Mytilus edulis: one gene and its partners. The protein of the gene in region 1 purifies or fractionates together with the protein of each later gene. This does not show direct contact. Links are inferred from orthologs where the notes say so. Each region holds a gene or a part of one and is shown on either strand. Other genes may lie near its edges.

The links.
Region 2: the proteins of RNA-binding protein cabeza-like (region 1) and ATP-dependent RNA helicase A-like purify together in Homo sapiens (affinity purification with mass spectrometry; 4 studies listed by BioGRID and IntAct, with this or other methods). This does not show direct contact. The link is inferred for Mytilus edulis from reciprocal best matches to the Homo sapiens genes FUS and DHX9.
Region 3: the proteins of RNA-binding protein cabeza-like (region 1) and cell division cycle 5-like protein purify together in Homo sapiens (affinity purification with mass spectrometry; 4 studies listed by BioGRID and IntAct, with this or other methods). This does not show direct contact. The link is inferred for Mytilus edulis from reciprocal best matches to the Homo sapiens genes FUS and CDC5L.
Region 4: the proteins of RNA-binding protein cabeza-like (region 1) and splicing factor 3B subunit 3-like purify together in Homo sapiens (affinity purification with mass spectrometry; 3 studies listed by BioGRID and IntAct, with this or other methods). This does not show direct contact. The link is inferred for Mytilus edulis from reciprocal best matches to the Homo sapiens genes FUS and SF3B3.

The regions. Positions count from the first base shown.
Region 1 is NC_092349.1:8,782,231-8,790,142, reverse strand, and holds the start of RNA-binding protein cabeza-like, read right to left. Parts: upstream 3,010-7,912; 5' UTR 2,933-3,009; coding exon 2,917-2,932; intron 1-2,916. UniProt on the Homo sapiens protein: DNA/RNA-binding protein that plays a role in various cellular processes such as transcription regulation, RNA splicing, RNA transport, DNA repair and damage response. Binds to ssRNA containing the consensus sequence 5'-AGGUAA-3'.
Region 2 is NC_092345.1:50,208,118-50,216,042, forward strand, and holds the start of ATP-dependent RNA helicase A-like, read right to left. Parts: upstream 3,022-7,925; 5' UTR 2,970-3,021; exon of another isoform or gene 2,918-2,969; intron 691-2,917; coding exon 580-690; intron 1-579. UniProt on the Homo sapiens protein: Multifunctional ATP-dependent nucleic acid helicase that unwinds DNA and RNA in a 3' to 5' direction and that plays important roles in many processes, such as DNA replication, transcriptional activation, post-transcriptional RNA regulation, mRNA translation and RNA-mediated gene silencing.
Region 3 is NC_092353.1:26,598,151-26,605,029, forward strand, and holds the start of cell division cycle 5-like protein, read left to right. Parts: upstream 1-3,854; 5' UTR 3,855-3,964; coding exon 3,965-4,009; intron 4,010-6,327; coding exon 6,328-6,431; intron 6,432-6,879. Other genes in the region: uncharacterized protein, read right to left, coding at 1-784.
Region 4 is NC_092348.1:7,220,008-7,227,658, forward strand, and holds the start of splicing factor 3B subunit 3-like, read right to left. Parts: upstream 3,018-7,651; 5' UTR 2,877-3,017; intron 1,827-2,876; 5' UTR 1,818-1,826; coding exon 1,592-1,817; intron 657-1,591; coding exon 580-656; intron 1-579. UniProt on the Homo sapiens protein: Component of the 17S U2 SnRNP complex of the spliceosome, a large ribonucleoprotein complex that removes introns from transcribed pre-mRNAs.

The DNA of each region.
Region 1 (7,912 bases):
GGTACATTAACATGTATTTTTTATTAAATTATCTTTATTCACCTAAAATATCCAGTAATATTTACTGTTGAAGCTAAATCAATCCAACGAACATCGGCACCATGATAAGAGACGTAATTTCGATTGAATTTTCCAAGGACCCTTTACATCGTTATTGGGAAACGAAGTGTGTTAAAACGTTGGTCAAATCTGAAATCGATTTTGTCAAGTCATTGGGCATTTATTTTCACACAAGATCGTATGTAACATTATGCACATAGGAAAAATAATAGACCCCCAGCGCAATCTCTTTGAAAATTGTATTTTCCTTTTTTAAACAAGACGAAACAAGCCTACAGATTATGTTTGCTTACATCCCGTTGGAAACAAATACAATGTTTAGACCTAGTATTTCGTATATCCGGCTGTAAGGGCGTGATCACATGTTAGTCACATGTTTCACGTATGACCTGAAATGATTAGAACTTAACGACAAAAACAATTTTAATAAATAAATGGACTTCTGTTTCGTGTGAAATGTAACGCATAACGATAACGTCATTTTCTAACTTAATTATTACGAAGAACAAAACAAGAATGTAAATCATCTCTGATTTTTTAAATCATTTACCTGTTTGAACATCTCGCGAGAGTTCGTATTTGCATATTGTTGCAAAGAATTCTTTTACAACAAAGCAGATTAAACCATCTAAAATGTGCATTACGAAATGGGAAACCAAAATAACGACAGTGTTCTTACACCTGCTACAGAAATACTTATAGTTCTCGGCATTTTCTTCTCACTATTCTTATTGGTCGATGTTCTTTGTTATTTTAATGCAAAAATTACGAATTTGCCGGTGACGATTATCTATAAATTAGTCAGCGTTATGCACTTCGGACGTGAAAAGTAACGCGAGAAACGACACACAAATACGGTCGTATAATCTTTGAAATTTGTTAATTTCAATTTTTTTTCTAGGGAAGAGTAGCATACACTTGTATGTTGATAAAAATAATGGCATCTTTAGATGTAGTTACAACTTTTCTTACAGTAATTCACATTTTATCACTTTTCTATAGTTATAGGAAACGGAGCCCAATAGCAAATTATGGTCCATATATGATCCATCTACATGTAATACTCCCACTGACCCAGTGTAATCTGTGGGCAACCGATCAAAACAACGCAAGATTGTGAACCCCAAATTCAGCTTTTTTAATGCTGTGATTGTAACATTTCTTTTTGCGAAATGATGGTATACTCTCAGAGGAATATAATGGTCTGAATGCCTTATTTCTATATATAACTGAACTTGTTTATTCATTTCATGACTGAAAAAGCATTGTTTGGTTTGGTGTGAAAAAAATGTGTTACTAAACATTACAAAATTTCTTGATGTCACCAAGCCTATTCTCTGACATCCAAAGCTGGGGCCATGGTATGTCTGAGCTTGTCCAATTTCAAAAAGTTGATGTTACCCTGTTCAAAATACATGCACTGCTTCCTAGCTTCTGGAGCTGTCTGAGGGCATTGGATCCATATAAATCTGGTCTCAATTTGTTCATTATTGAATATTCATTTATCACTTAATTTATGCAAGTTTCGAATCGTCTATCTGCCACCCTTTATTTTCAAATTTGGACACTTATCACAGTGCCCCATCATTTTTGCTTGTTATTAATTTAAACAATTTTAAATTTAAACTGAGCCAATGACTGACTTTTGATAGTCAGATATGGACAATATTACCTTCAACTTAACTTAACCATAACTTATAAGCACGATTACTAGTTCTAGTTGGACTTTATTCATTATTATTTTATTTTATTCAACCCCTTCATCCATGCTGGTAATGAAATTCAACATCAGAAGTGCGATATTAAAGATATTGAAACACCTCACACCAACAAGGATTTTCTAGTTGAATAATTCCAGACTAATATTAAATGGACATCAAGTTACTAAGAGTTCGTGGCCTCAAGACTCAAAATATGCAAATATTTATATTTTTTAACCTCCTTTAAAGGAAATAGATGTTTAACATTTAGTAGCCAGCCATGATACTTCACCTCCTTTACAGGAGATCGGTATTAAGCATTTAGTTCCGACCATGTTACAGTCGGAAGCTCTCGGACATTTAGATAACTTGCATCGTAAATAAACGAGGTGTTACATTATGGTCATTTGCATAAATCATCACTGTTTTCATGTGGTCATGTGATAATCTTTGAAAATGAAAGGCAAAATGAGGAAATCAATGGGTCACTGTGAAAACTGTATAATTATGAGAAAATAAAGGTTGGCAGGTAGGTGAAACTTACATAAATGAAGACATAAATGAAAAATGAACAGATTGATGCCTGATTTATATAATTCCAAGGCCATCAGTCGGCACCAGACGTGACAAGCTGCGCATTTATTTTGGGTGGGCAAATATCCACTTTTTGATACGGGACAAGCTCTGACGTCCCATGGCCCCAGCAAAACAGCCGTTGGACGTCAGAGTAATCTCGGACTACTATAAGACTTAATGTCAGCTCGTTTTTTTTCCTTACATTTTTTTTTAATTTCAGAAAACTTTTCAATTGATTTTATAATACATTTAGACCGGCTTTCTAGTTTTACATCTCGATTGAGGTCCATCAATGCATCATCTTTTTCATAATGCAAGTTAATTAATTTGTAAGTGCTGCGTCTTAACATAACATTGTGTTTCAATTGGCTTCATTAACGCCCGGTGCGATGCCGGCATTTTTGTGCGAAATGTTGACTTGTTACGGCAATTTACCATGATTTGAGCTAAATACTGGTATCGCCCAATACAATTATATCTATCATCGTCTAACAACATAAATATGGGACACAGGGATGACTTTACAAAGCATTTCTTGAGCTAAAACAATAATTTAAGGGTAAAAAGAGTGTTTTCTTACGACTTGCATCCGCCATTGTCTGTTCGTTTTTGTGCAAGAGTCACGTGGTATAGACCGCGTGTGTTTAAGGAACCATGTGACCATACAATTTTTTTAAGAACTTTTAGATTTTGTGAGAAATATATAGATTTTACATATCAATTGGTAAATATTTAACTTGTGTTCTTCAGTACTTAAATTTCTATAATTTATTGCAACAATAATCAATTTATGCGACAACAGAAACTTATCAGTTCGACATTTATCTTTTCATTATCCTGTTGCAGACCTCAATTTCTTTTTGTGAGCATGCGCAACTAGTTTCTAATCAAATTATGAGCAACACACCATAGGAAGGAAAATCAGTTTTAAACAGGGGTGTCATAGGGGACATGTGGTGAAGCGTGTTAGTACGAATTCATGTGTTTATCCATTTTTCAGTTGATCTAAGAAGACTTTCTTAAAATAAATATCAAAAACAAGTAAACAATTGTCATTATTGACATCAAAAACAAAATTCTCTTTTTTAATTTCCGAATTAGCTACGTTTTAGCAAGAATTAAGACGGTAGCTGGGTCATTTTTACGTGTACGCCCGAAACTTGACGAGGGATATGAGGGGTGACAACCGCTCAATGTTAAAGCACCTGCTGGTAGTGGGTTCGAAAGGGACGAAGCCCCCGACAGCTATCGAGAATAAGATACCGTAATATATGCTTCCTGTCAGTAAAAAATCATTGATAGCAACATACTTTTGTATCTAAATGGTTTGTTTGTTTTTGTTAAATTTTGTAATATGTTAACCTATTCATCGTGTTAAACTGGAAGCAAACCTAATGGTTATTGGTTTCAGAGAAAACAAAAAATATTTCTAAGAGGTGCAATATAAAAAAAATCTGGAATACCTAGGATTTCTTCCCACAAAAAGTAAATCAATTTATCATTCATTTAAACATGTTAAAGGGATTTAAAAAATAAACTAAAATTTTCTTTTGATATTTTTTTCTTGATCTGGAATATTTCACGATAATCTATGAAGGTTTATAAATTGAGCATGTAAAACAATTAATTGCGTAACATTCGTAAAGAAGAGTCCGCCTATCTGTCTATCAAAAAAGAACAGAAAAATGATCGAAAACTTATAAAGTGCAGAAAGAAATACGTTTTGTCCTTAAATAAACTCATCATAGATACCAGGACTAAATTTTGTATATATGCCAGACGCGCGTTTCAATTAATTTTATTTTAAAAATTCAAGTGTAATCCCGGTCGTTTTGACGTAAACGTAGCTACGCGCATGTAAACGGGAAGAAAGTCACAGGAAATAAAAGTCAGAAATTTGATAGGACAAAAATTCAAAAATTCGCAATTTATTTGTTGACCATTGTTTGAATGTATAAGATAAAGATCTTGCAATGTTTTCTTTTCATTACATATATTCATTTTAAGTCTCAGAAATTGTTCATAAGTCTTGATAAATGAAAATTTATTAAATTTTAATCATTCAAAAGATATATTTCTTGTTCTTAATGGGGGCTCGCTGGTGTTAATCTTTTATTATTTAAATATAGGATTTCGCATATATTTTTTTTTCTATAAATGGACTTTTGCATACATACTTAATAGAATTATAAAAAGTTTTCATTATACAACTTATGTACATATTCTTTTTTCTGAGGAAAATTCTTTAATTTGTCCACATTTAGAAGAAGTTTACTTATTTTGAATTGCTTGCTTCCAGTAAGCAATTCGCCGACATATTTTCCGTATGCATAGTGACCTGAGCGTAAACCTCCTCGTAAAAATCCGGTGACCGCAATACGCATGGATCTGTCACTAAAATAAACAATTATCTGATTGTACATGTTATGCACGTGTTCAATATCCATGTTTTTTTTTGGTTGATTATCAACTTTAAGGTGACAATCGGTAAATAGTTATCGAAGGTACCAGGATTATAATTTAATACGCCAGACTCGCGTTTCGTCTACATAAAAGTCATCAGTGACGCTCAGATCAAAACAGTTAAAAAGCCAAACAAATACAAAGTTAGAAGAGCATTGAGGATCAAAAATTCCAAAAAGTTGTGTTAAATACGGCTAAGGTAATCTACTCCTGGGGGTAAGAAAATCCTTAGTTTTTTTGAAAAATTCAATTTTGTAAACGGGAAATTTATAAAAATGACCATATAATTGATATTCATGTCAACACTAAAGTGCTGACTACTGGGCTGGTGATACCCTAGGGGACGAAACGTCCACCAGCAGTGGAATCGACCCAGTGGTGTAAATAGTTATCAAAGGTACCAGGATTATATTTTAATACACCAGACGCGCGTTTCGTCTACATAAGACTCACCAGTGACGCTCAGATCAAAACCGTAACAGATAGAAAACTCAGGGTCAAAATTCATAGAACAGAAAAGGGGCAGTGGCAAATATTTCATGTATATTTTGAACACCGAGAGAATTACCCCGGCACCCTTTGCCAAAAAAAACCTTTCTTTTTTCTTATTTGTGCCTTCGGATTTTATGTTTTGAATTGTAGTTTCACTTTCCATATTCGGTATTTATTTAAATGTAAGCTCCACGTGGTAAAAATCACGTGATGCAGGAATATAGTATTTTGGAGTTTGGCTATTTCTTTCTTTTCGGGAAGGGACTCCAAGCAAACAACATGCATGTGTATAACGGCACTGTAGATTTTCGTATTAAATAAAGAAAGTTGCCGGTCCGGTACATGAATAGATTGGTTAGAAAGCAAGGTTTTAATTTTTAATTGGAAAGCTTAATTCGAGGGTTAAACATAGAGAGCACAAAAAAAGGGGGGGAGGTGTTCCACAGGGAATATTTTTTATCTTATGAACTGTACATTTGAAAGGTTTATTATTTTTTTTATTTAATTAAAAAAGAGAAAAACAAATATAAGACAAATTGTGAATGGTCTTTCTTCCTTTCTCCCTTGCCAAGAAATTGCCTCCGTTGAAATACTGCAAACACCCCATAGAGCAAATTACATGGATGATTAATTTTGACCATTTGGTATACGACCGTGTTCTAAGCGACACGTACATGAAGGTCATACATTAATTTCTTGAATGAAATCAAATCTTTAGCTACTAATGACTGCCGTAGGGGGTCGACCGAAATTTTTAGCGAGGATTTCTTGGCATGTTTAAAAAGCCAAACAAATACAAAGTTGGAAGAGCATTGAGGACCCAAATTCCCAAAAAGTTGTGCCAAATACGGCTAAGGTAACCTACTCCTGGGGATGAGAAAATTCTTAGTTTTTCGAAAAATTCTAAGTTTTGTAAACAGGAAATTTATAAAAAATGACCATATAATTGATATTCATGTCAACACCGAAGTGCTGACTGCTGGGCTGGTGATACCGGTAACTACGGCTTCAAAACACGACGATGGGGTTCGTGATCTTTATTTTTTAGTTTTGTATGTTGTGTCATGTGTACTATTGTTTGTCTGTTTGTCTTTTTCATTTTTAGCCATGGCGTTGTCAGTTTATTTTAGATTTCTGAGTTTGACTGTCCCTTTGGTATCTTCGTCCCTCTTTTAACGAGCTGCCATATTTTCTCATTATAACAGACAGAGCGAACAAAAAATGACGATTATACGATATAAATGCGTAAACAATGATAAAATCAAGCACAGTAGACTACGTTTATGATAATATAATAATAATAATAATTCTTTATTTAAAGAGGGTTACACAGTTAGCTGTAAAGCTAATCTTCCCTGAGGCCCTCATAAAATACAATGAAATATAACAAACAATTACAAAATATCAAACAGACACACATACATGAACAATGAATAAAAAATTGTTATGAAATATACAATTTTCAAAACAGGTAAAAGTTACAAATTCATATATGACATGTATAGTATTGGCATCAACAATATCATAAGTTTGAGTAAGTGTGTGAAAATTATTATGCATATAAAAAATGCACAGCTTCTTAATGTTCCATCAAGTAATTTTTTAAATCTTTTTTGAATGAGCTTGTACTTGAGGTTGATTTTTTCAGGGATATTGGTAAGTTATTCCATAAAACAGATCATGAATATATAAAAGATTTCTTATAAAGCTCTGTTTTGGCTTTTGGAACTTGTAAATTTTTGCAAGAGGCATTTCTCAAACGACATTGGTTTATTTCTGGCATTTCTTTAAACTTTTCAGTGAGATATACAGGGGCTTCATTCTTAAGGCATTTATGCATCAAAACAGATTTGTGGTATGAGATTCTGTTCTCTACTGTCATCCATCCAAGCTGTTTAAACAGTGGAGCGGATGATGAAAGTGGATCAGCATCTAAAATAAGTCTTGCAGCCCTTTTTTGCAATTTTATTATTCTGACTAGCTCATTTTTAGCACAACCACTCTAAATAATACAACAATAATCTATCAGTGGGAGAATATAACCATTATAAAATAATTTTCTTAGATCAATATTTAGAAATTTCTTGATTTTAGAGAGTAAAAAAATTCTTGATGAAATTGATGAACATAAGTAATTAATATGGCCTGTCCAGGACAGATTAGAGTCAATTCTAACACCTAAAAGTTTTTCAATTGATGATTTTTGAAGAATATTATTCTCAATAGTTAGAACTGGATCTGCTTGATTTAAACGCAGCCTTTGTCTTGTACCTATAACCATACATTTCGTCTTATCTGAATTTATGAACATGCTATTTTCATGACACCATTTTTCAACACATTGGAGATCATCTTGTACTTTTAATTGCATGTCACCAATAGTCTTTCCTGATGTATGTATAGTTGTGTCATCAGCATACAAGTCTGTATGGCAGTTTTTGATGTGTAATGGAAGGTCATTTATGAACAAAACAAACAAAATGGGACCAAGTATTGAGCCCTGTGGAACACCAAAATTTATAAACTTTTTATTAGAAAACTGATTATTTATATGGACTTGCAGTGTTCTTTCACTCAAATATGATTTTAAAAAATCAACTGTATCTTCATGGAAGCCATAA
Region 2 (7,925 bases), on another chromosome or scaffold:
ACACATTAAATTACAGGACACATAAATTCCAAACATATGATTTTAAAACAAAGCATTGCAATGAAAGGTCAAATGTAGATGACTGTGTGATAGGCATGTACCCTATAGTGGGTAATAAATAAGACGTCATTCAGGTAAACAAATTATATACAATTACAATAGGCATATGTTTGTCAATTTTTAACACTTTTTTACTACAACCATTTCCATGATATCAGTATCTGCAAAAATATCTGACAGGGATTCAAAAATCGTCCAACATTTTTCAAATCATTTTTAAATCCATGTCAAATACTTTGCTGCCACAGAACCTTGAAATTTCACACTAGATGCTACTTAAACAAACTGTTTTTCAATGTTCATTTGTAAATTGCTTAGTATCTGATAATGGAAATTAGATGTAAACTCTAAATAAGTCATTAAAGCAATGTGATCGATTACTGTGGAAGTCTGATTATGATTACTAAAATGACTAATTATGCCAACTCCTTACCTGTAAAACATGTAATAGGTCAGGTGAGCTAGGAAAGGAGCTGTAATGTTTTACATGCATTAATAAATTCCAAAATATTGACATACCTCACATTTAAACCTTGGTTTATGTTTTGATCCTGTCTGGCCAAACTCATAACATGGTGTGACCTTTCTTTTCCCACACCAAGCATATAAAAACTGTTTAACGTCACCCATCTACAAAAAAATCATAAAATAATAGATCTATGAAAAATACCACTGTTTATTATAATCGTAATAAATTTGTTCTCTGCATAATTGCTAGATTATGTACAATGTAATGTATACATGTATATATATACTTGCAAATGTATTGTTTGTTCATACCAGCATTTTTAAAGACTCAAATAGACATATATCCATAAAGCAGATTCTTCGTCCAATACCCATCCCTCACCACTACACGGCACTGTTTATTTATGTTATTGTAGTCATCAGGTGTACACAAGTTAGTAACCTTTAGAAAATTATATGCATTACTCAATCGTTCCTCCATGCCCCCAGTAAGTCATCATTTCATCAACATAATCATGATAATATTTGTTAACAAACTGACTTGAACATGTTATACTGGATAAAGAAAACATTGGTCAGCATTGCAATTAAAAGTATTTTGACACATAATTTTAAGTACTTCCAACTTTGAAGTATAAAAAAATATTTGGAGGAAATTTTAAGGATTAGAAATTGACACACACATTAGCATGATTAGTCTTAATTAAAATGTAACACCTTAAGGTTTGATAAAAAATGTCATCCAAGTTGAACAAAATGACAGTTATCCATGGTTATCAATTGTTTCCTATATGATTATGGACAGTAATTTGGTTTTTCAAGTAAGTGCCTTCATTTCACCTTATTGCAACGAATTGAACAGACTTACTTATATACCAAATGAATATATTAAAGAGACTATAGTAGCACTTTTGAGGTCTTAATGTAATTCATTTACACCTGTCATTAGTAATGATTACTTCAAATCAAGTTACAAGTAAGTTTCAGCCAAATTGGTCATCACAATTTAACTCATAATTAATATATAGACCATCTACATATTACAGACATTTTTAGTTATACATCATTTCTGGAGTCATGTCCTCCATGATAAATATTGCATACCTTTATGATGTCATTTACAAATGTACCAGATAGAAGATTAAGGCGAGCCTGTATCCCTGCGCTATTAAAGTTTCAAGCAATTTCACAATCATACATTGTAATTCTGCATGGAAGCTACAGTCTAGAAATAATTTACATGATTTATGTTTCGTAAGTAGGTAATCTTAATTTCCTTATGACTGAAGCGAGGGTGACCAACTTATTAGATTTAATTTCCAATATATTCTGTGCAGTACAAGATACAACTTTTTTAACCAGTTGAGGACGAACAGACTGATAGACAATTCATTTTTAATGGTATACCATAATATGTCCCATGAACGGCCTAATTAAAGTGATTTTTGCATGACCTCAGATGGTTATTTACTAAAGACTGACAAGATCCAGCTAGGGTCATTCTGAGGGCAAATTCAGCTAAATACCCCAAAGTGTAAAATGAAGATACAAATGTACCTTATACACCTTATCTTAAGGCAAGTGCATGTGACTTTATCCCTATTAGTCCGCATTATTACAGGACATCACAAAAGTTTACATAAAATTTTGACATCATAATACAAAATATCTGATGCCACAATGGATAATTGATAATTGATTGTTGTATGACGTCAATAGTTCGAGCTATTCTCAGGTAAACCAGCACATATATTTCCAAATACTGAAAGTGGGTCTCATTCAGTCATTGTGGTCTAAGTGTGACACAGGATTGCCATTTTTTTGTAAGCGTGACACTTGAGAGTAAAATTATTGTGCTGTGAAAACGGGAAATAAAGTCTAGCGGGACACAGGAAATTACAAAAAAACAAGAATTACACGGTACATAAAGACTATTAAAGCGGGATACGGGAATCTGACAAAACAATAAGAGTAATCTGGAATCAGAACCCCCCTGAAATAGTGATGAGGTGTATTCAGCACAGGCACTTGTTTCTATCCATAGGAAGGTCGACTATCCATCTATTTATCTGTTTATATATATGGATAGTCGACCTTCCTATGGATAGAAACAAGTGCCTGTGGTATTCAGTTATTAGCATGATTGGCAGTTACCTTTGTCTGGTTAGCAAGCTTTATATAAAATAATTTATTAAACTAAGATATTCACGATGATCAATGATGAATATTAAGATTAAACTTGAGTTTTAAAATAATTTACTGGGGAAACCAGACTTTCTCTTGCAAACGAATGCGTACAACTGTTTGTAACCAGTCATCCTCCTTGGCATTTATATATTTACAAAAACACTGCGGCTAAATACCACATATTCAAACAATGTCATATGACCTTAGAATGCCTTCATTAGATGTAAAGCAGTTTCATTTAGCAGAGCACCTACTCTTGTTTACGGGGACGTCAACTCTTTCAGCAGATCTACCTTTATTCGACCCAAATTCCTTTCGCCACTATTCGATCAAAACCGTCGACCCATATCAGTTCTCTGGAACTCCTTTGGATATAAGTGCTCAACAACAACAACACAACAACAATAATAATATTAATGCGGATTAAAAAATATTTAATTATTAAAAATTTAAAAGAGGCATGCATATGGTCGTTTTTCAAAAAGTAAAATCACAAAAATACTGAACTTAGAGGAAGATCAATTGGGAAAGTCCATAATCAATACACATTATCGCTAATCTCGCCGCTGCCCCGGCAGCTTGAACTTTTGCAATCTTATTAAAATTTTAATATTTAAATTAAGGGGACGACCATTTGATATTCTGGGGGGGGGGGAGGGGGCAGGAGGATTTTGAAAATAAATAACTTGGCCTTGATAATCACAAAAATAAATGGTTTGTTCTGTGGTAGTTTGAAAATAAAATACCTGACTTGCAATCAAAAATAAATAACTCAGCAGGTCTAATCGAAAGTATGAGATGGCACCAGATTCTTCATAAATTCATCTTTTCCCCAAAAAAAATCGGGAAACTCTTCCCAATTTTTTAATAATAAAAGTATAAATATTATTCAAATATACTTGAAACATGTGAAATGTCTGAAAATTGGTTTCATTTAACTTGAGGTAAATTGTCTCAGGAAACCTTGCCTCACTTTTATTTTAACTGGGCCGTAACTACATTGAGGCAAATGCCTAACTACATTGAGGCAAATGCCTCATGTAGGAAATTTCAAAACCAAACACTTGTCTCCATATCAAATTGTGTTCACGGCGAGTCCCTTGCAAAAAGCAAGTTCTGTTTTTCCTCAGACGTAGCCCTGATTTGTCGGGATCAATGTTTCTTATTTCATGTATTTATTTGTCTTTTGTTCATTGATTGCCCTTCTGTATTCTGTTAGTGTTGCATTTCTTTTTGTAATCTAGGACTGTAGTTTTGTTGTGAACTTGATCATGAGTTTTAAAAAAAACAGCAGCCACAGACTTAACTATGTGAATTCCGTTTTTGCTTTATCATGCACATTGGTCTTTTGATGTTGTCCCTAGAAACTTAATTCTTACACTGAATTTATGTCAAAATAAAAAAAATGAAAAAAGGTGACCGTGCCTGATGACGTCACACCAAAAGTACACAACTTTTCTCAAATCTTTGAAAAGGGAGGATAAAAATCATAAGAGAAACAGATTCCACCACTGTAATTACTCGTGTATTACGATATTTCTCTACTCTCAACAGTTAAATTTTAATTATTTCAAAAGCTCGACAAGCCTCGCCCTTTAAATATTAAAATTTAACTGTCTCGAGTGGAGAAATAGTTGTGGAATCTATATTTCGCAGTGGACACTACCACTACCATGCAGTCTTTTTTTTACTCTTTTTTTCAATTATTTCGCGCAAAACAAATAACAAGAGTTAGTTTCATGTAATTTTCAGTATGTTTTTATCAACATAGAATAGGGTTGATGTGAACTACGAAATTTTTGTCAACTACGAAACGGGTTTGTCAACTACGAAACTCATCAAAATGTCCACTACGTAACATGAGTTGTACCTTCATATGTGAAGTACTGTCTAATCTTTATCGATAAAAAATGGTTTTCCAATTCAGACAAAAATTAGATCTTTCTAGTATATAAAGTAAAACAAACTGGAATGTCTATAGAAGACATTAAAGTGCAGTAAGATGTGCGTTTAGAAGCAGTTTCGTAGTGGACAAAAGTCCCCTACGGAACAGTACATAAATTAAGAAAATAATATCATTTTAAAGAGTATTTAAGATTGCACTTTTTATATACAAACAGGTCTACAATAGAGGTATTCAAAATAACTCTCGAAATAAAATTTTAAACAAGTTGATTTTCCATTTTTTTTTGTGTCTGAAATTCAGTTTTATTGAAAAACGCCCGTATACCAGTCCAGTCGCCCATGAACAAAATCTTGATACAGTAAAAAAAAATAGATGAAGGTGATTTTTTCACAATCCCACACTTTTTAACAGAAAATTTGGAACTAAAATATTTTAAAGTTGTCAACTGATTTAGACACTATAAGCGTAGTTCCCAAGTTTCCATCATAGCAGATGATCTGGATAACACTAACGATAACTTTAAAAAAAAAAAAAAAAAAAAAAAAAAGGAAAACAAAAAAGGAAAACAAAAATCGACGCTAGTATCACGGCCGACACTCGGCTAACCGAGAGATTGGTCGGTTAATCTATATTGAGTATGCGGCTATATCGGCAGTGAGTCTGTTAATCGGGTTGGCTAAAGTCTGTTAATCAGGTGTTATCGAGAAAATCATTGAAAACTCAGAATGTTTCATTGTATAACCTTTTAAATATATGTTTATCATAAAAAATATTTATGTCTGACAAAACTATTCAATGTACTGAATCCTGTGGTGTAATTATTATTTTTCTAGCTTCTATGTACGATCTATAAAATGAAAAGGCAAATTACTCATCAGTAAATTTATACACATTTTACACACACAAAATGTACACAAAATGACATTTGGGTTGAATTTACTTGCATGCACTATTTTGAACATCGAAAAAAGACAGGCATTATGAGTGTCAACCAAATTGATATCATTTTGTGAAAAATCTACACGAAAATCTGTATTTTGGTGACATAAATCAATCTTTATTAAAAACCTGGTCTGTTAATGGGTCGGATGTATAAAACCCGGTCTGTTAATTAGTCTGTTAAGAGTTATGAATGACAATAAAAGTATAATTTTATTACTTTATGGTGTGTTCATTTGGTAGGCTCAAGACAAGCGGCTAAAATATACGGAAACAACACTTGAGCAATGGAACATAAAATATATACGGAAACAAAACATGAGCAATGGAATATAAAATATACGGAACAAAACACATGAACAATAACAATGTAGGCAATGGATATTGAAAATTGATAAAAATGGTTTCAAAAAGTGTTAAATTAAAGTAAAATTGTTTTTATCCGAAAATGGTCGCATATATCATGTGGATTCTGTTTAATTGTCATGAATGACACCAATTTGTCATCTACATTGGTAACCAGTATATAAATCAGAGATTAACGTCGTAATGTAACTAAACATCAGTATATTGGGATGCCTAAATATAAAGAATAGAGAAAGAATAATGGGTAAGATAAATAAAATGTAGAGAAAAGTAACAAAACTATTTAAAGAATACAGAAATAAACAACACCCCCCAATCCGTACCCTCATGGTATACACGAGAATCTGGATGGAGATACAGAATACAAAATAAAAGATAAGGACAGTAGAGAGTGATGCATTGCTAAAAAAGAGAAGAAAACAATTTGTTTAAGAATAAAGACATGAAACCCCCTGGGTGTTGAAACAGTAACGGATTGCGATGTACTCATATTGGTGACAAATGCTTGACGCTTACATGTGGACACCTGCAGTTCTCCTCTGCACATATGTAGAAAGGGAACTAAACGGAATAAAATGAATTAAATTCTAATACAACCAAATGTAGCTGCATTCGATTCTTTCCATTTACTTCTTTAGAATGATTTGTAAACAACAGATGATTAAGTAATACAAGAAAAAAAACAATTGGATGATGCTGAGGAATTAGGATTAAGGTGGTACCGAACACTTTCACTGAAATCAATGTGGTTCGTTTAATTTGGATAAAATTTTGACAAGTATTTAATTTGAACCTTTAACAGAAATATAAAAATTTCAAAAAATTTGAACCAACCGTTTTGTCAGAAAAATTAACTGGTTATATAGCAGTTTGACAAACACCAATTTTGATCTTCGAGAAGCTTATTATTCCCTTTACAACACAACGTAATTAAAACGTATCACTGACTTTACAGAGTTATCTCCCTGTAGTGTTGGGTACCACCTAAACGTCCAGTGACAAATGTCATGTGCATATGAAAACGACAACACGTTATATATGTACCCTGTGTTGTATTAGAAAGACACGTTCAATCGGATTTGAGAACATGCTACTTTGAGCAGACACAAAAATTAAGGCTGATTGAAATCGTTAATAATAAATTCATGCATATTCCAGCGACCAACCAGATTTCGCTATATTGAAGTGACACACTCTTGAGTAAAATGCAAAGAAAGTCAAAATAAAAATGCTTTTACTGGAAGGATAGTGTTGCATCGTATTATTATTTTTTGTCGAGCCTTCGACTTTAGTCGAAAAAGCGAGACTAAGCGATCCTACATTCCGTCGTCGTCGGTGTCGTCGTCGTCGGCGGCGTCCACAAATATTCACTCTGTGGTTAAAGTTTTTGAAATTTTAATAATTTTCTTGAACTATACTGGATTTCTAACAACCTTGGACAGAAGCTTGTTTATGATCATATTAAGATAGTATCCAGAAGTAAATTTTGTAAAAATAAAATTCCATTTTTTCCGTATTTTACTTATAAATCATGGACTTAGTTTGTTCTGCGGGGAAACATTACATTCACTCTGTGGTTAAAGTTTTTAAAGTTTTAATAACTTTCTTAAACTATCCTTAGATTGTACCAAACATGGACAGAAGTTTGTTTATGATCATAAGATAGTATCGAGAAGTAAATTTATTAAATTAAGTAAATCCATTTTTTCCCGTATTTTACTTTTGAATGGACTTAGTTTTTCTGCGGGGAAACATTACATTCACTCTGTGGTTAAAGTTTTTAAAAATTTAATAACTTTCTTAAACTATCCTGGGTTTGTACCAAACTTGGACAGAAGCTTATTTATGATTATAAGATAGTATCAAGAAGTAAATATTGTAAAAAGATAACTCCATTTATTCTGTATTTTACTTTTAAATGGACTTAGGTTTTCTTCCAGTTAACATTACATACAGTCTGCAGTTAAAGTTTTCAAAACATTTATTAGATTCATTCACT
Region 3 (6,879 bases), on another chromosome or scaffold:
TTTTGTCTGGCAAGAATCTCCCCAATAATGAAAACTCAAGGTTTTCTTGTGGTGTAGCTCCACACAAAGAAACAGCAAATTTATCAAAATCATCAAAGAATTTGACAAAATCTTTTGAAGTTGTAATACTTTTTACAGTGTTACTCTTCCTCTGTAATTTTTTTAAGGTTTTCTTAATCTTGCTATGCTTTGCCCCGATTTCCTGGCTATTTAATTCCCATGTCTGCTCCAGATCTTTTACAAGATTATCAGCATGCTTATCAACTTCACACTTAAAAGCATCCCTGTGACTAAGGATATCTTGCTTGATTTTTCTAAATTTAGCATCTTCCTGATCTTTTATGTCCTGAACTTTGTGTAATGTACTGGTCAAATTATGTATACTTTCATCAGCTTTCTTCTGTCCACTTTTAGTTATCGTCTTTTTATCATTAAGCTCTTCTTCATCAATAAAGGTGTGTCCATTGTGGACTTTGGTTACACATTTTAAACAGATGACTTTCTTACAAGTTTGACAGTATACACAGCAAGCCTGGTCTGGATGTTCTAGACATTTAACATCTCTAAAGTTAAATGTATCCACTTCTTCTTCCAGATCCAGCTCTTTAATGTCTCTAATCCTATGTTCAGTTGCATTTTTAAATCTAGCATGGACTTTATCCTTGCATCGGCTGCACATTAAAAGTTGACAGTCCAAACATTTAAATTTGATTTTATTCCCACCATCACAAAGTTCACAACCTACTGGAATTTGTCCTCTTTGTAAAGACTTAGAAGAAGCCATTTTTGAAGTCTGAAGTTAAAAAACCATATATATATATCAAAACTTTTAATCAAATTATTAACACTTGTAGATATAATATGAAAGATAAAATATGAGGTTAATTAGATATGACATGTGTAATGTACATTTAAAATAAAGATGGACAGTGTTATCTTGTTTATTTGCTGCATCATATAACTTTTTTTTTATCAGGATAGGGGAAGCTAGTACACAAAAACATAATATTTTTTTTTTTTAAATATTATCCTTTAAGGGCAATAACTCATAAAATTATGATTAGTATGTAATATTTGCTACTGTCGTATAAGCAACAATATTTTATCATTGTATAAAAAAAATGTATTATTCTAATTTGCTACAATTTCAGCAGCAATATCTGCTTAAAATTAACCAGAAAATTTGTTATAATTTTGACCGATATTTTTGGTCTTATTGATTTAGTTTTTAAATGACAACCCATAATTCTGTTTTGAGAAACAGTTGTTTTGTTTGTTATTGTTTAAAATCTTAGATAATTAAATTTCAATAGTAATTGCAAGTTACTTCCCTTAGCTGAAATGTTGAAGGTGCAACTGGTTGATTAATCCTTTTGAAAAAACAAAATTGAAAGCTAGTCGGAGAAAAGATTTTTAATTGATCATTAGTGATGCATTATGTGAATGATAAAAAAAAAATTGTTGAGAAAACATTTTTTTTTCTTCTGGTCTAGCATCCACATGCAGTGAAACAATACAACATAGCAACAAAAGAGAAATACCTCTTACCCAAATCAAAAGGTAAACGGACAGAAAGTCACAGGACATGAAAAAGTCAGAGGACATAAAGTCACAAATTTGATAGGACAAAAAGTCACAAATAATTTTTTGACAATTGTTTAAACATATTTTTATATATTTACTTTTTAAAACATATATATATTTTTAAGTTAGGGAAATTGCTCATTAACCTTGATAAATGAAAATGTAGTTAGTACAATTTTAATCATGAAAAGGATATATTTATTGGCAAAATAAATCCATTCAAGTACCAAGCCACTTTTAACATTTTGTTTTCATAAAAATCATGACAATTATTTGATCATTATTGATATTTAGTGAATAAATTTTAATTACAAAGTTGCTTCATAAAATAAAATAAATATATATTTTATTATAGTGTCACATATTGATTGACAATATTTACAAATCACAGTATACAATAAAACAATCAATACCCAGTCATAAATTTGACTTATGAGACACTTAACACATGTTATATACATTATTACATTTTGTAATAGAGTTTAACGGTAAAATTCATAAAATTATCATAAAAAAAAAGTTAAAACGTGTTTATGCATTTAAAAGCATATATATATATATAACTTCAAGAAAATACAAAAAAAATATTTTCAAAACCAATCTCAAAACTGAATTGTGACTTTTTGTCCTGTGACTTTTTGTCCTGTGACTATTTGTCCTGTGACTTTCTGTCCTACATTCAATCAAAACATCAATTTATAAACTATACACACTATTTGCCAATTTCCTTAATTGAATTGACCCTGCATTAAGAGATCCATTTTTTAGTTGTCTAACTTTGAAGGGTCATAAATTTTTCATTGGCAATGAAGAGCTAAGAAAAACAGCAAACTTATCTGTGAGAATTAAATGTGTGTAAGCTTTAAGTTTCTTAAATCTTTTAATTACAATAATTTTTTTGTTACTGTAAGCTGTAAACTGTTGGAATGTCACGGAACAGAAGTTCCTTCATAATATAATTTCCAAATGGAACAAATATTCTGGAATAAATATTACAGTAGATGTTCTTAACGGAATAAATAGTATAAAATTGAGAATGGAAATGGGGAATGTGTCAAAGAGACAACAACCCGACCAAATAAAAAACAACAGCAGAGGGTCACCAACAGGTCTTCAATGTAGCGAGAAATTCCCGCACCCGGAGGTGTCCTTCAGCTGGCCCCTAAACAAATATATACTAGTCCAGTGATAATGAACGCCATACTAATTTCCAAATTGTACACAAGAAACTAAAATTAAAACAATACAAGACTAACAAAGGCCAGAGGCTCCTGACTTGGGACAGGCGCAAAAATGCGGCGGGGTTAATTATGTTTGTGAGATCTCAACCCTCCCCCTATACCTCTAACCAATGTATAAAATATTTGTTCCATCAGGTACAGGTATTATGACATTGTTTATAACAAAGTTTCCACTGGAACTTCTATTAGGTGGAACAAATATACGTTGACAGGAACTCTGGTAACCGTTGCGCTTTTCATTTTTTTCTTCCAGAATTATTCAAATGCTGATATTTCATATTCAACTTATTTTGCCTTTTGAGGACAGACCCCAAATTTGTACGATATAGAACCAGTCATATTTGAAAAAGAGAAGCAATTTCTGTATAATAGAATCAAATAGATAGTTGGCCAATGGACTATCATTAAGATGTTTCATTCAAATATGAATCATATGATCATGCAGGTATTTTTCAAATGTTTTGATTAAGAAACTGCAAAGTAATCAAGGGGGCACAGTGATGGTAATGGCTCACATGATGCCTTGAGCTCAGAATAATTTATTTGCTATGCATTCAACCTGAGACTACTATGTGTTATAGTCTCAGATAATTTTTTTCAACTGTTCAAATTGATTGTGGCCACCTCATCTGCAATGATTCTAACAGGAAGATGAGGTGACCATCCTGAACTACGTTTTTTCCTGTAAAAAAAATATGTTCTTTTATACTGTATTTGTATCTGAGAAAGGATTGGGAAACGATGTGTAAACAATCCGGCTGCTTATCCAGCTATTTTCAAAAAGGCGGGGAAATATCGTTCGATTCTCTCTAGACTTTCTATTAGGCTGCAGAAGAATAAAGTGTTCATTTTTAGCATGTTACCAAAATAAAATGTATTTATCGAATTTTGTTCTTAAAATGATTAATTTTGGTTATATTAAATATCAGAACTATACAAAATATATGAAGAATAATAAAACTGTACAGAAATGCAGTCAATCATCATATATAGAGTTGTGTATCTAAAATATATTCGTGTCCGTTGTTAATTTTGGTTATTAGCTAAATTTATTATACCCAACGTTATTGGAAAAAAAAACTTTTAGACAATTACATTTTAGGCACCTTTTACAGAGATCTAAGAAGTGAAAGGCCAAGATGCCGAGAATTATGATAAAAGGAGGTGTTTGGCGTAACACGGAGGTAAATGTCCATACATTATTGGAAGTTTTTTACTCTTTTTAATATACATTAATGATTTTCCAGAATACCTGGAACACAGCAAACTACGACTCTTCGCTGATGACAGTATTATATACCGAGAAATAACATGTCAACAAGACTGCACAAATTTACAAAAAGATCTTAACGCAGCAGCGAAATGGGAGGCTGATTGGCTCATGGCCTTCCATCCTGGAAAATGCACTATCTTAACCATCACACAAAAAAAACAACCATTTAAACACGATTACATCCTTCATAACCATACTTTAGAACTAGTAACATCTGCAAAATATCTTGGCGTAACCCTACAGTCTAACTTAAAATGGAACATTCACTACAACAACATCGTATCAAATGCAAATAAATCTCTTGGCTTTCTTAGGCGAAACTTAAAAATTTCTAACTCCAGTATCAAATCCCGTGCTTACCAATCAATAGTGAGACCAAAACTCGAATATGCCTGTAGTCTATGGGATCCACACACAGCAGATTATAAAAATAAGCTAGAAATGGTACAGAGGCGTGCGGCCCGATATGTATGTAACAATTACCACAACACCAGTAGCGTTACATCCATGTTAAACGAACTACAATGGCCCTCACTCAGTGAGCGCCGCCTCAAAACCAGACTTATCATGTTCTACAAGGTCATCCATGGACTCATTGCAATCCCATCACTAGTCCTCATACCATCAGATACTAGAACAAGAAAATGACATACTCAAACATTTCGGCAAATATCCACCTCTAAAGACAGCTACAAATGGTCATTCTTTCCGCAAACAATCATTCAATGGAACATGTTGCCACAAGTTGTGGTAGCAAGTCAAACCATTGAAATTTACAGAGATCAGTTGACACCAACTGTTCTCCACAACATAATTTAATTCTATAAATAACAATGTACATATTTTTTAATCACTTGTTGTTTTCTTTCATGTAAATATCACCAAGTATTCTACTAAGTTAAAGATAAATTTTTGTTCATATTTTTTAATCATATACTCCGCGCATGCAACAGTTCGTAATCTTCAATAATAATGAAGCTGTAACTGTATATCAGAAGAAGAAGAAGAAGAAGAAGTTTATCAGTTCACACACGCTTACATTTTTGTTTTACAACAGTGCATGTTTTTGTTTTGGCGTTTACATCAAACATTCTTAATATTGATACTGTTGTATAAGGGTGGTAATGGACATGACGAATAACAGTTAAAATTGTTGCCAAATGACGTTAACAGTAATTTTTGGTGCATGACGATTAAATGTGCACTTTCTTTTTTAGACCATGTAGACAATAAAAAAATAAAGATTTAGTTGATCACGTTTATTTATTTCCAAAAATAACGGTAACGTTAATTATTTGAGCCCTCTGACGAATCACAATAAGGATATTTTTACAAATCACAGTAAAATTTTAATCAATTTGACGCTAACAGTAGCCGAAAATTGACAGTTGACGCCTGACTGTAAAGGGCATTACTACCCAGTTGTATGTCTAGTGATATTTCTGTAGCAGGCTACCTTTTGATATACTGTAATGACTATGTTGGAATCTGCAACACTGAACCTCAGAATTTGTGAAAAATTCACCTTTATGTGGCTTCTGATTCAAAAGATATCTCTTGCAATGTCAAGGACAGGCAGGTACATGTAAATATCGACAAATGTATTAAAAAAAATCCAACCATTCTTACATGTATGTAAAAAATGGTGGATTAATATAAGAGTAAGAGTAAGTTATAGTTATGCTGTTTCTACAGCATGGTCAACAGTAAATTGATTAGTAAAATTGAATAAAGAAATGGTGAATATGTCAAAGAGACAACTACACGACCAAATAACAGCAGAAGGCCACCAATGGGTCTTCAATGCAGGGAGAAAATCCTGCACTTGAGGTGGGCATAAGCTAACCCCTAAATAAAAATGTGTTCTAGTTCAGTGAAAACTTCAAAACATATAAATGAACAAAAAATAAAAAACATTCAAGACAAACAAATTAAAGGCCAGAGGTTCCTGACTTGGGACTGAAGCAAAAGTGAAGAACACACAGCAATACCAACATTAAAATTCAGTTTATAAAATGCCTTTTAGTACTTAAAAGTAGGCCAGTTTAATGGGAAAAACTTATGTTAAACCAATGATATAAAGTATGCAATTGTATAATCATTCATTGACACTTTTCATTTCTATAGAAATCAATTGACCCTGCTCCTCAGTCATGGCCTATTAAGAATGTTGTAATACAGAATGCTGTATACAAGTATGATAGCAAACATATTTATATTTTATTTCAGGATGAGATTCTGAAAGCAGCTGTCATGAAATATGGCAAAAACCAGTGGGCTAGAATTGCATCATTGCTACACAGAAAATCAGCAAAACAATGTAAAGCTAGATGGTAAGTTGAGATACATGTACACAATAAATTGTTACAGCGTAGAACTCCAGCTGAAATTACTTAAACTAGGAGCTAAATCTTCTTCAACAAAAATTATAATAATGAAGTAATTATCCCTAAGGTCTTGTGCTTCTTTTTTTTAATCAACTACTGATAAATTAAAGGTAAAGTTTAATGTGTGTAATTTGAAAGAAAATCAGTTGAGGTGTACTGATATTTTGCTGTAGTCCTACATACAAATATGAAGATCAGTGGAGTAGTTTAAGGCCAAAAATATATTGTGTTTTCAACTTTTCAAACACAAACATGCTTTTTCTTCAAGTACCAATTTTAACATGAGAGGGGTTGGTCATGAACGTTCTTTTATCAAACTATTTACTTGAATGTAATCACTGAGTTGAATGTAAATATAGAATTTCAATATAAAGTTTGTTTTTCCTAAACAAGG
Region 4 (7,651 bases), on another chromosome or scaffold:
ACTTGGACAGAAGCTTGTTTATGATCATAAGATAGTATCCAGAAGTAAATTTTTTAAAACGATAAATTAATTTTTTCCTTAATTTACTGTAAATGGACTTAGATTTTCTGCCAGGAAACAACACATTCACTCTGTGGTTAAAATTTTTAAAAATCTTGATAACTTTCTTATACTATTTTTAATTTGTACCAAACGTGGACATAAGCTTGTATCTAGAAGGAAATTTTGTTAATATTTTGTACCTGTGTATCTGTATTTTACTTGTAAATGGACTTAGTTTTTCTTCCAGTTAACATTACATCCAGTCTGCAGTTAAAGTTTTTAAAATTCATAAACTATCCTGGATTTTTACCAAACTTGGACAGAAGCTTCTTACAATCAAAAGATAGTATCAAGCGGAATATTTCTATTGATTTTTTTCTTTCCTTTTTGTTGAGCCTGTAATTTACAGCAACAGTAGGCGAGACACTGGTTTGTGGAACCCTCACAAATTTGTTTTATTATACAGATGTTCCTTTCTTTCTAAAACACGAAAATTCAAATATGTGGTAAACATTTTTTTATCAGCTGTAAACCTACCCTTTCAAACACATTCTTCTGAGGTATATATTCCAAGATAGTAATTCTTCCAGAGTCGGACCCAACCACAATGTAATCTGAAAATATCATTTTACTCAAAAATTGGCATGTATACAATAATTTTTAGGTAAATTTGCAAATGTTAAGTACTTCAAAATTAAATATATGGTAGCTTGTTGTTAATAGCTTGATTTACCTAACTAAGTATCAGTCAATTCCCTACCTATCATTAACTATACTGACAGACTTCTCTGTAATACCTCTACCATATAGGTGGCCACAAGTTTTTGTTGAGTGTTTGTCCTTGGAAACATTTTTTTCATAGAATTTTTTTTTGTGTATGTGAGAAAAACTGAATTACACTCTCAGTGATTTCAAAGGTCAGTCAGACATTGGCAAATGTCCGGTAATTTTGAGACTGGTCTAGTTATTTTCGGTTTCAAGTGTCCGATATAAATTTATTGAATTAAATAATTTTAAAATGCATCTGTCGGCATGTTATATATCATCACACTTTAGCGTGTCATTTGATCGCACTAAAAAAAAAACATCAACCATCGCACTTTATAAGAGTCCTACATAAATGTATAAAAGACAACTAAAGGATTTTGATTTCTGGTGCTTAAATGCCACCTTTGAGCACTGCATAGCCATATATTTAGGCTATTTTGGTGCAGCCAGTTTTTATTGGTGGAGGGACAACTAAAAGAAGATCTATAAAAAGCCATACATCAGGCCATAAAAAAGAATAGGTTTGTTTGCCCAAACCCTACGTATATACCTACCCAGAAAAAAGCTGCCTACTCAAATTCTTTTCTTGTCCTGATTTGAAGCAGTTTTTTTTTTTTAATCAGATAGGCATGAAGACTAATAAACACCCGATACTTCAATTTCTTTTTTTGAAAAAAAAGAAAGAAAATGCCTACCTACCTACCCACTGTCTCAACCTTTGGATAGTGTTTGGGCAAACCAAAATATTTTTAATTGTGGCCTCAGCAGTTATTTAACTTACCTTTAGAACCACCAGTCAATCTGAAGGGAATAAGAGCTCTAATAGTTCCAAATATTTCTGTTGACAACAAAGGGTAACATTTTCCAGTATTTGGGTCATGTTTTAGAAGTTCCAAAATTTTGCCTCTGGATACAACTATTTCTTGTAACTTGCTTCCAGAAAAGTTGCCATGGATTGCATGAGCAATACCAGTAGCTCTTTGTAAAGTTAAGTTATACAGATACATTCTTCAAGCCTGAAATACAGATAAAGCAGTTGTGAGATGTCTAAGATTTTTTCAACACGATGTGACCTATGTAAAAATCTGATTGTGAAAATATCTAACTGAGAAAAATATTAGTTTTAGTTGATAATATTTTTAAAAAACTTAACTGTGTTGCTGCATTGTAGATTGCTTCCTCTAAAAGTGAAAACCTTTATTTTGCAAAGGTCTTACTCATTTGAGAAGAGTTTCCTACGTATAGTACGTTACATGTGGAGCAGTATCTGCTTACCCTTCTGGATCGCCCCTAGTTTTGTTTTAACATGTTTAAAGGTGTTAGTGTTGCTCTTGCTTTAAATTGTGTACTTTTTTCACTGTCTACATTGTTTGTGCATTTAGGGGCAGGGTCACTTCCTTCCCATGTGGAGCAAGTGGTTGAAAACATACAAATCTGTATTGCACAAATCAATCGGCAAATTAAATTTCATAATTGATAATCAGCATTGCTTTCATTATGAACGATTAAGTACCTGTGGAACTAACAATATTTCTAGTTATTCTGCATAATACAGATCGTGAAGTTGTTTGACTAACTTTACAGGCAATTCCCTCTATCTGGTAAATGGCGATTGGCATGCATAATTTTACTGACAAACTTTTCACTTTCAGTTTCAGGGGAAGGACATAAAAATTTATTTAAACTAGGTATGAGCTGTTCATCAAAGCCCATGTTACCGTTATCTTTTCTACATATGCGTCGTTTAATGCGCTGTTGATAAAAGTAAACATGCATAAACTGTATATAATTTAAGGTTTTCTGTGGTATATTTTTGTTGTGTTCGGTGCTTTTGCAGCCCGATAATAGACAAAAATAGCTTTACATGGTTGACATATACCGCACAATAAACATTAATGAATTAGGATATACTCCGATATCATGAGGAACATGATATCAAGTTATTTTCTTGTATGTTCTAAATGTCACTGAACAAGGGTGGTATAAACACAGGAAATGCAATGTATTGTAGAGATTTGTGGGCTTTCATTCGGGTTTGTTATCATTGAATGTTATCTTATTTGCACCTTATTTCTTTATCATGACATGTCAGCATAAGAAAAGCATTTGATTTCAATGGATTAAGCTCACTGTAACTTTGAATGGTGATCAAGCCGGCATTTTCCTAGCGTTTCCGGAAGCGGAAATGTTCAGTTGACATTGTAAACCAACAACCCAAATGCGATTTAATATCGCAAATCAAGACAACGTCCTAATCTATATTTTGAATGTTCATCAAAATTGTCGATTTCTGGACGTATTTTTATTTAAGTTAGTAGGACGGATTAAGATCCTTTGGGGCTAAAAAAATAAGCTTGATTTAAAATAGAACCAAAAATAATAAAGGAAACTCATATTATGAACAAGTAAGGACATTAAAGGTTATTTTTAATATCATACAGATAAGAATGGCATACCAGTTCAGTTCACGGTTTCCTGTATTTATAAAGAAAAATATTCTCCTATGGCATGTATGGGGAGACACAAATATAATACTCAAAAGGTGAGAATGTTTCTTGTGCATGATATTCAAGAAAGAGGCACTCAATTTTCCTGTCTTGACTTCTCGTGTGTGTGATGTGTTTTACACTTTATAAAATGTTACGGATTTGTTTATGTGGACCGTTTTGAAAATCTTCATACGATGTGTTTTTAATTTGTTTGTGGCATTTGTTTTTCCAGAATGATTCATTGTTTTTAATTTCTATCAATCTTTCCCGTAGAATTTTCTATGTAATGACTACAGATGTTTTAGAAATAGTGTTCCCCACTCTATTGCTAAGGTTATTTTCTCTATGGTCAGCCAGAACTATTTGTCTGTGTATAATTCCCACTCTTTTCTGGCAATGTTTATAAAGAAGGTAAGTATGTTTTCCCCTCGGTTCTGCTCCTACAAGAGGGTAAGCAGTGGTATTTGACTTATGATATATGTACCGATATCTTATGTTTAAAATTATAGTAAATAAAAGACCGAACTCAAAGTTAAATAAAAAGGTTTTTCGTGGGACAATATAATGCATTCATTAAAAATATTTTTAATTTATTTTTAGTTGGATATCTAAATATTAATTGGTATAATGATTTCATATTTAAAGTTTCTTGTATTTCTATGACTCTAAATCATCTGTTTGCCCCTCAACTCATAGACCTTTTTAACAATTGTCTACACCTACAGTTGAGCACGACTACGACAGGTAAGATGTGAGGGGTCGTTTCAAAAATAAAAAATAAAAATAATACGATACTTCACTAATCATCACTAAGAGATTTAATGCTTGCAATTTATTTGAGTGACAATGATACCTTCCAACAGAGTAAAATGGCATTTTTAAATTTAGAAAGAAAAAAAACAACGATCAACTCATTTTCTGTACGGTGGAGAAAAAAAACCCAAAAAAAACAACAACAATCTCTGATCGACTAAAAAGGAATCAAATATGAAGGCGAAGCATAATTTCCACCGTGTGAGGCCGGATAATTAATATGTATGTGGCAGCTATTCTTATGGATCTTTCGAAAGCTTTTGACTGTTTACCACATTATATCCTTTTAAGTAAATTATCTGCCTACAGTCTTTCTTCTAAATCAGTGAAATTACTTCAAAATTATCTTACAGATCGTAGGCAACAAATCAAACTTCAAGGAGTACTCAGCAGTTGGGCTGACATCCAGAAAGGGGTACCCCAAGGCTCAATCCTGGGGCCCCTATTATTTAATATTTTTTATAAATGACATATTCTATTTTATTGAACATGGTACCCTATATTATATAATTATGCCGATGATAATACTCTGTCATATGCAGACAACAATTTTGAAAATTTATTATGTACACTTGAAAGAGAAAGTGCTGTTTTAACTGACTGGTTTTGTTTTAATTGTTTGCAGGCAAATCCCGACAAATTCCAAGCCATTGCAGTTGGAAATAAAACATATGGCATAGCATTTTTGCAACAAAGAGAACACCACCAAATTGGAAAAAAATCAGGAAAGGGCTTTACAATTTATATATGAAGACTATGTTAGTTTATATGCTGAACTTCTTTTACGAGCAAAGGTTCCATCACTGAAAATTAGACGTACATGCATAACATGGCTATTGAGTGTTTTAAAATTTTATATTAATTGTCACCACCATGCTTACATGATTCAGTTGTATTGAAAGATTGTAAATATAATTTTTATTTTTAGATATTCCAATATTGTAGATATACCTAGGGTCCGAACATCAACCTATGGTAAGAACTATTTTAAATACACAGGCTGTTTAATGGAATGATCTACCTGATGATTTTAGAAAAAATGCTAATTTTAGTCAGTTCAAAAATATTTTAAAATCATGGAATGGAAATGGCTGTAAGTGCATAGTTTGCGCAGACTTTTAGTTTATATATTATGCAAATTTATTTACCGTCTAGATCATACCCCATTTTTCAAATTTTTATGCTATGCATTTTGCGGTTGTATTGTTATAAATGTTGTATTGTTAAACATGTCTCGTATGTCGGTTAAAAGCTCATTAGAGCTTATGTTTGTCTATGTTTGTATACCTTGCTGACTCTAAATAAAGCTTATTTATTTATTTATTATTATATCTATACACAGTATCAACATTTTCAGGACTTGGTTCAGGCGAACAAAACAGGCGACAGGATTACTAGATTAAAAAAACCCTCCCTTATGCATGGTCATAGACGAAATTTAAAAAGAATCATTTGTAAAAAAAATTAAAAGATTATAAAACCGGCAAAGATTTGTCTACGATAAAATAGATAATATAAGTTATATGGTTCGCTACTGACCCCATACGGATCCATAGAGGGTTAGTAAAATCCATAGGGAGGTGAGGCCGGAGGCCGAGTCCCCTATGCATTTTATTCACCCTCTATGGATCCGTAGGGAGTCAGTAGTTAACCGTATAACGAATTTATCGGACGCTGGACTTTTTCTGCGGCATTTTGTTGAAAAATAAACAACAACATTAATGGATGACGTCGCCATTAACGCGTCATGAACCCCATATGAAACTTACTTACCCCATACGGTCTCTTATCGGACCACAGATGAATTATCACGTTGTGATTGGTTAAACGCCGCAACGGGGGTCAGTAGGGAACCATATAACTTATAATAGGGGGTCACCACGTGACGGTGTTTAACCAATCACAACGTGATAATTCATCTGTGGTCCGATAACGTTCTATAGTAACTAGTATGTTGAATTATAAATTCCATACGCACGTATGTACTGCTTAAATGTTGATACATCTCCCCTTATTCAAGAAGGAAATACACCAACTTTAAGATATCTTGATCTTTTCATTCGACCTTTAAAATCAATATGCCTACCCCTCCCAAAATTTAACATGTACATCGGGTAAGGTTTAGATCGTTTAAAGAAGTATCGACCGTGTTAACAAGTGTGATAACAGACGGACAGACAGTCCAGTATTAATATTCTTTCAGAAATTCTCAGAAATTTTCAGAAAAACTTAAACAGATACACATTTATTCTTATTGCATGGCATGCGGCATAATCATAAAGTTGAAGAGAAAGCTGATCAGGATGCGGAATGATTGAAGTAATTTTTAGCTCACCTGGCCCGAAGGGCCAAGTGAGCTTTTCTTATCACTTTGCGTCCGGCGTCCGTCGTTAGCTTTTACAAAAATTTTCTCCTCTGAAACTACTGGGCCAAATTAAACCAAACTTGGTAACAATCATTATTGGGGTATCTAGTTTAAAAAATGTGTGGCGTGACTCGGCCAACCAACCAAGATGGCCGCCATGTTTAAAAATAGAACATAGGGGTAAAATGTAGGTTTTGGCTTATAACTCTGAAACCATTTGCATTTAGAGCAAATCTGACATGGGGTAAAATTGTTTATCAGGGTTGTTGGGTTGCTGCCCCTGAATTGGCAATTTTAAGGAAAATTATACCGTTTTTTGGTTATTATCTTGAATATTATTATAGATAGAAATACACTGCAAACAGCAATAATGTTCAGCAAAGTAAGATCTACAAAAAAGTCATTTTTTACCAATTTTTCGTATTTTTTTCTAATCTTTTACAAAAGTCTTCTCCTCTAAAACCACTAGTCCAAATTTAACCATACTTGGCCATAATTATCATTGAGGTATCTTGTTTAAAAAATGTGTGCAGTGATTCTGCCAACCAACCAAGATGGCCACCATGGCTAAAAATAGAACATAGGGGTAAAATGTAGATTTTGGCTTATAACTCTGAAACCAAAGAATTAAGAGCAATTCAGACAGGGTTAAATTGTTTTGCAAGTCAAGATCGATCTGCCCTGAAATTTTCAGATGAATCCGACACCATGTTGTTGGGTTGCTGCTCCTGAATTGGTATTTTTTAAGGAAATTTTACTGTTTTTGGTTATTATCTTGAATATTATTATAGATAGAGATAAACTGTAAACAGCAATAATGTTCAGCAAAGTAAGATCCACAAACAAGTCAACATGACCAAAAAGGTCAGTTGACCCCTTAAGGAGTAATTGCCCTTTATTGTCAATTTTTATTTTGTAAATTTTAAAATATTTTCCTCTGTATTTAATGGGCGAAGTTCATTATAAATTGAGATAATTGTAAGAAGCAAGAATGTTCAGTAAAGTAAGATCTACAAACACATCACCATCACTAAAACACAATTTTGTCATGAATCCATCTGTGTCCTTTGTTTAATATGCACATAGACCAAGGTGAGCAACACAGGCTCTTAAGAGCCTCTAGTTTAATCAATTCAACGTGAAATGTCGTGTAAATACATGTAATAAGAATATT